Linked DNA regions of Nothobranchius furzeri. The protein of the gene in region 1 interacts with the protein of each later gene in a biochemical or structural test. Links are inferred from orthologs where the notes say so. Each region holds a gene or a part of one and is shown on either strand. Other genes may lie near its edges.

Region 1 (3,977 bases):
AGGAGACGGAGAAGTATGAGGGCAAAACGCTTCCGTCAATCCGTGCGAGTCTGTCCCTTGCGGAGCTGACGGAGAAGCATGAACCAGGCTTTAGGCTGTTACCCCCAAAACCAGACTCTGGATAAGCAGAAGAAAATGGATATGCATATGCTGGTGAAGGTTCTTAGTCATCCAGGTCATTGTAATCCAAAAGGGTTCAAATGAAGGCAACTGGACTTCTTTGAAGATGTTCAGTTGCCTTCATTTGAACCCCTTTGGAAGAAAATGGATGATTAGATGGATGGATTTTGCTAAATCATAATGATTATCTTTATTTCCACAATCAACCAAACAAGTCAGACTTGCTGGCTATGCCTAAATTCAGAGGCTGCATCCTGCCAAAGCCGCATTTGAAGACCAATTACATCACAGTGATGACAGAGGCTGTCCAACAGTAAGTGCTGGCCAAACTGGACATTCTTTTTGTTGTAATAATGGTGGACGAAGTGGGAGACGATTCATTTTTAACTACAAGTACGTGAATTATCTAGCTGTCCCAAAAATTAAAAGCCTAAAGCAGTTGTGTCGTTGAGCTTTTACTGTTTTCATAGTTTTAAAATATATTTCATGCTAAAAATACATGTAAAAACACACTAGCTTCCGTTTCCTATGTGTGGGAATAAATCCGAAATCGAGTCCACTCCCTTCTGGTCTACATGGTGTAACGTCCAGCAATGGTCAGTTTTTAGGTACTGTTTGACCATTCAACATCTGGTCAGAAAGGAGACACGAGACTGCATGTGTTCCCTTTAAATTGGCCTGCCTTCATCCCATCAGCTGGAGTTCAGAGCCTCTCTACAGCTCTGAACTCATGATAACGAATTATCAACAATACTGTTCGCTCCTCAAGGTCCATCCTCATCGTCCTACAGGATTCTTCATGCCTAACACTCGCAGCTCGGATCAGTTGGCAAATCAAAGAATGATTTCCTAAATTAAATATGAACTTCTAAATCTTATAAGCTAGATAATCATTAAATAAACGTTTGTTTACTGCTACTTCTAATAATTATAATGTAATGAACTGTTTCATTAATCTGTGCTCAATGATTGAAGTTGGAAATGAATGTTATGTTATGATTACAGTGATTGAAATATGTTTCAGCATGTTTATATAACAAGGTCATCACCATTTGAACTCACACAAGAACAAAGTAAGGTTAAGTTAAACTCGTGACACATTGATAGCCCTTTACCCCAGATCAGAGCCTCCGGTATCTAAGAAGGCGTGTGTTTCTGAGTCTCTTGGTAATATTCCTCAAACTTGTCAACCTCTGGTTGGCTACACAAATCATAACATGAGAACATTAAAACTGGATCACTCTGGTGATTCAGCAGTTCTAGAGGAAGCTTCAGACCGGCCATCTGAAGCAAAACCCTCTTTAACCCATCAAAGCTTTTGACACGTTAAAACCTTTTTGCACCTGCGAAGCTGATACCGTAACAGTTCCAGCAAAACAAGCTGATATTGTTTAGACTCCTTAAGAGTCCCAGACGTGTGGTTCCATCCATCTGTTGTGACCTAGAGACAACTCTAAGACCAGTTTAGTGGGGCCACAGTTTCTTCTACGGACCTCGGTGCCTGGAAGTCCAAGGACTTCGACATTCAGATATCTAGTAAAAAAATAATAATACATCACCTGTGAAATCTTCTTATAACAGAAGATAAAACAAAGCTTTTCAGATACATGCTGCTATCTTTCTCCTTACTTGTGATCATGTGAACTGCTGATGTCACCAGTGGTCGTGCAATTCTCTGGTCATTTTGTGACATCACGGCCCAGCTGCGTGGAAAGCGTTTGCTGCCGTTACGTGTCTATAATGCTCCCAGTGGGAAAAGAGCTTGTGGGTAAAACACATCTTTACGTGATGCTTCCGCATCCAATGGAAAGATGGGGTTTGTTTTCTTTTATCTAAAGTTCTCTCTGTAGAATGAAGAAATTGACCTTTAACCTTTCCCAGACAGATGAGCAGCAGTGGCTGCTGAAGCATTTCCTCTTTGGAACTGTTAACACACACCTGTATGCTCCAGACCTCACGCATATTGGTTTAGGTATAGTTAAACAGAGGTGTAGCGTGATGACTCATTTTGTTACCTGAAGAAATATTTACCCAACTCTGAAGGCAAGTTATGACCAGATCTTTTAATATCCTGGACCTTTAACTCTTAGAATTACAGGGTGTGTACTTTTTACGCCTGTACATAAAATGTTGCGCTGGACAAATTGGAAGTGGAGCATCAAAGACGAATCATTTCCTTCTCAGCGTAGAGCAGAAGACAGATAAAATCAGCCACCAGATCATTGGGTTCCTGCGGTAACGCAGCTGTAACAGAGCTAGCTTTAGCCACATTAGCAGCGATGCAGTGCAACAAACGGCGGGTAAAACCAGCAGACCTGACACACACGTTCTAATAAACACTCCTAACTGTTAGGGTTCATAGCTGCAGCTGAGAATGATTGCATTCACCGTAGTCCAACTGGACCGTGTTACTGATTTAACCAAAACACCACCCTTATCAGTCAACAAACGAGCACGAAGCAGCGCGCGCACGACTACAGCCGCCTCGCGCCCCCGTTTTGACGTTTCGGTTTGATAAAGCTGATTTAACGTCACGGCAGAGGACAAAACATCGTTGATTTACCGTTTTGTTTGTGCGTAGTTCTTCAGTAACCATTCACTGCGTTTCGCCCCAAGTCGTTTCTGGTCACAGCAACAAACCTGCCTGCGCCAACCCCTTATCCGATTTATTTTCATAATAAAAGGAGAAATTTCCGTTCACTCCCTTTCAAAATAACAGCCACCTGGAGCTGAGGCTACAGCCAATGGGATTGACCCACTCTGGAGGATTTAAGGGGGACTGCAGTTAAAAAATAAATCCCAACTAGCTGGTGCTTTTTACAGTTTTTTTCAGTTGCTAAAGCATTTGTCCAACCAGCTGTCACATTTTCAAAATTCTAAATACAAGTAGCACAGCATCAGTGTTTTGTGGCCACACAATTCACACATTCCATGTTGTTTTCACACAATATGCAGTCAATCAACAGATTTACATAATGCTTACATTGTCTTAACAGAGAAGCTATTGCTCCCAACGAAACTATGGATTGTTTTTGTAGTATTTGCGAATGTTAACACACAACATCCCACAATAGCAAAAACAAAACAGAAAGGACAAACACTGCAATGTCTGGAAAAGGACAAGGACGGGGCCAAGGGAACAGAGCAGGCCCAGTGAAAGGAGCAGGTCCAAGGAGAGGGCAAGGTAGAGGCATAAGAATGTGTGGTGGTGGAATTCCAAGGGTTGCAAGAACAGTAGTCAGTGATGAAATTTGTGCCACCATCATTGACCATGTAATCAACCATGGTCTTTCACTAAGAGAGGCTGGTGAAAGAGTGCAGCCCAATTTGAGGAGGTCAGTGGTTGCCTCCATTATACGCATCTTTCAACAAACCAACAGGTATGTATTGCATTTATAATGGATTGCTTCTATTGTAACTTGCAGTATAAATAAGACCATATAGTAATGCATTTTTCCCCTCTATAGAATGCAACGTCTTCCACCCTCTGGAGGAAGAGGAATGCTCCTCAGTAATGATCAAGAGCTAAATGTTTGTTGCAAATAATGCAATGAAAGTGCATGAAATTCAGACTAGAATAGTGGAGGACCATGAGATATTTGACAATATTGATGGCATCAGCTTCACAACCATTACACGGGCATTGTCCAAACACAGAGTGCGGATGAAGCAGCTCTACACTGTTCCTTTTGAGAGGAACAGTGACAGAATCAAGGAGTTAGGACGACTATAAGTCCAGGTATAGTGTATATTCAATTCAGTAATGATGTGACTTGATTGATTGATTGGTAGTCATGAAGGGATGGACATGGTCAGAAACAATGCTCAGCTAGCCCGTGGCATTTAAACCATGCCCA
Region 2 (3,500 bases), on another chromosome or scaffold:
GCTGATGTCTGGAGCACTGAGTTTTTTCTTTGCCTTCTTGCTGTGGTTTGTTGCAAAGCCTAAAACAGACAAAAATATGCTTAGTGGTGGTTGATTTAGTTCCCAAAAGCAGATAAATGGTGTTTTTTTTTTCTGATTTGATACTCACGGGGGTTTCTGCAGAAATAAATGCAATACTTAGAATAAGTCATAACTTACACAAGTCAGGCTGCTGAGCCCTCATCGTAGTTACAGTTGAACTTTAAAATGCAAAAGCAAGGGAAAAGCGTAGGAGCAGCAACATTTCTCTTAACCTATTACCATGTGGGATCTGACAGGGGTGAGGGACCACAGATAGGTTTTCTGCAGAAATGTACAAAGTGACTTGATTACCAGGGTCGACTTCCTCAGAAGTTCCAAACAGCTCCTCTTCAAGCTCTTCCTCCTCTGGGAGGGGCCTAACGTTTAATCAGAAGTAATCATGACTGTTTAAAACATTTAAAAAGAAACAACACATTGCTAGATTATGACAATGCACCGATACACGTGACTGAAATTACCGTGGAAAATCTTCGTCCTGCCACTCTTCCTTCAGCTCGACTCCTTCCATTCGTAAACGAGCTTCCGTGGTCCTGACCAACTCCTGGCGCTCCAGGCTAAAGACAGGAATCACAAGATGGATTTGATATTCCATACTTCACAGTGATGATTCAAAAAAGACTTTTTGGATTTAGAAAAATTAAATATTTCAAATTCTGGAGCAGAGCAACATGAATAATTGGTTTTCTTGCAATGATGACTTGCAAAACTTTTGTGGAATTTTAAATGAAACCTTAAAGACAAAGTCCACTCATTTTTAGCACTTTCACACTAGCATCTTCTCCACTCGGCCTAGACCGAGTTTGGAGTGTTCTCATTTCCCGCACGCAACCGGACGTCTTTTCTGCCCTCTTCCCAAAGCGGTCTGCCTGGAGCCAAACTGGTCCAATACGCCCACTACTGACTGAGTGGCCAGCTCAAATTGATGCCTACCACTCGGGGGCGCCTCCGATTGGTGGATAGAATCAGCCCACGATTCATAATCATTCTGGATGCTGTGGAATTAACGAGCCTCTGACTGGAGTTTTTCTTTGTGCCACTGCTGTGAGGAAGCACACACACGCACGCACACACACACACACACACACACACACACACACACACACGCACACAGAGTGCTGCCAGACACAACAAAGCAGGATGCAATATCAGAGTCAGAGAGTCTCCAAAAGCAAGACTGCTCAGGCTGCTTGTTTAATAAAGGTGAAACCGCACACTTCTCTGCACGCTCTTTTGCCCTGCCAACACGCTTGGAGATGCACTCATGACATCACTGATATCCATTTTTCATGCCAATTTTGGAGACCGCTCATGTGCTCAATCACTTCCGCATTCCTAAGGCAGTGTGGAACGCGGCCAGGCTGGGGCGGGCGGAGCGGAGCCGATGCTAGTGTGTAAGTGGCTTCTTTCCCGATTTGGCCGAATCGGGGGTCAGCTGGAAACTGAATTAATCGGGAAGTAAGTCTTGTTTTATTAAACTACTTTGTTATGATTTCTGGCCAAGTTTTGCCAATCAGAATTTGACACCACACATGATTATTGTAAGCTTATGAATTGTAAAAGTCATGAAGTGTTCACTTATTCAGAGCGAAGACTGTTGACTTCTGACATTCATGCAGAGTGTGTAGGACCTTGGGAGAGAATGTTTTGTCTTCAGTATGTAAACACGCACTGAACAGAACCTTCTGGGTTTGGAAGGCCAAACAGAAAGTGGATTTATTGCTGTAGACGAAAGGTATGTTGGTCAATATATAAGAGCAAATTGACCCTTTTGGTACGTTACATATGTTTACCTAATAAAGAAAAGCCTTTAGGGTAGGGCTGGGTGATATGGACTAATATCACGACATATTGAGGATTTCACCTCGATAACGATAAATGGACGATAAATACAGGTATGTACAAAAACCAAAAGTTGTCCACTAGATGGTGCTGTCACGTGTATTACGTTGAGTCACATTTTTACGTGACTCAAGGTGGTACAGCGTCTTAAAGGGACATGAATGTCGCCACATCTTTTCACTTTCTTATTATCAAATTTATTGACATGGGAGAAATTACCTCGATAAGAGTCAGAAATTTTGATAAAGATAAATTTTCGATTAATTGCCCGACCCTCCTTTAGGAGCAAATATATTTATTTAGATTTAAATTGTGTATTTTTTAATCAAGTCCTTATTCATTTTTCTGCAGCACACCATTATTACATGGTAAATTGCCTGTATTTGTATTGCACTTTCTTAAAGTTTTACCCCCCCGCCCCAAGGCGCTTTACAACACTCAGTCATTCACACACACACACATTCACACACTGGTGGGGATGAGCTACGGTGTAGCTACAGCTGCCCTGGGGCGCACTGACAGAGGCGAGGCTGCTGACCACAGGCGCCACCGGTCCCTCTGACCACCAGCAGCAGGCAAGGTGGGTTAAGTGTCTTGCCCAAGGACACAACAGCAGCATTCTCTGGTCAGAGCCGGGATCAAACCTGCAACCTTCCGATTACTGGACAACCCGCTGTACCTCCTGAGCTACTGCTGATTAAAATCAATCACACATTAATAGAACAATTAATATCCATGCTGCATCTCAAGTTGTGCGTTTTTACTTTTTGACTGACATAATTTTCTATATTAAAGCTTCTCGGAGTTAGAAATTGTGTTTTGAGGCTTTACACATGAATCTTTTCCCCACAAAAGCCACCTTATTAACCAGATATTGTTCTCAGGGTTCTCCACTGAGGAAGTGTGCTAGCTCATTTTTCTAATTAACATACAACACAGTATACACTCATGTAAGTGGCTTCCTAAACAGCTTAGAAGCTTAAATCACAAAAACAAGACTAACTAATGCCAACCACAGTACCCCTGCTGCACAAAGCCCCCTTTGATGCAGTCATGCACATATTGGTATCCTACACATTTAACATTTCAGAGAAATGGTTGTTAAGCTTTCTGCTGATCTCTATACAACACCGGAAACCAGATGGGAAAGGAATGCCGTTCCCAGGAAAAGAAACAATCCAAGTGCAAGTTGCAACACTTGGATTGTTGAATGTTGGAATGGAAGTCAGATAATGAAGTCAAAATAAACAAAAATGTCTTAATCCATGCAGCTCTGTTCCATTAAATGGTACTTTACAAAGGTGAACTTTATAAAGGTGCCATCTGTGTGAGATTACAAAGAATATCAGCCAACTTGTTTGTAGTTTCATCAACACATTTAACAGAGAACCAAATTAAATAACCTTATCCCTGTTCCTGAACATAGAACTGTCTTTTAAAGGGGCTATAGAATTGAAAATCCACTTTTTGGAGCTTTTTACTAGGGTTGGGCATCGAGCATCAAGAACCGAGCATCGACTGGAACCGGGACCAACTGTTAGTTTTTCCCGGAATCGTTCAAAGTTTTTTTATTTTGATTC

What was found. The genes of interacting proteins can lie anywhere in the genome.
Region 2: the proteins of arhgap1 (region 1) and bnip2 form a complex in vitro, tested with the Homo sapiens proteins (2 studies listed by BioGRID). The link is inferred for Nothobranchius furzeri from reciprocal best matches to the Homo sapiens genes ARHGAP1 and BNIP2.

Annotation. Positions count from the first base shown.
Region 1 is NC_091743.1:81,736,646-81,740,622, forward strand, and holds the start of arhgap1 (rho GTPase-activating protein 1), read right to left. Parts: upstream 2,801-3,977; 5' UTR 2,684-2,800; intron 1-2,683. UniProt on the Homo sapiens protein: GTPase activator for the Rho, Rac and Cdc42 proteins, converting them to the putatively inactive GDP-bound state. Cdc42 seems to be the preferred substrate.
Region 2 is NC_091744.1:67,581,393-67,584,892, forward strand, and holds part of bnip2 (BCL2/adenovirus E1B 19 kDa protein-interacting protein 2), read right to left. Parts: intron 636-3,500; coding exon 540-635; intron 438-539; coding exon 373-437; intron 60-372; coding exon 1-59.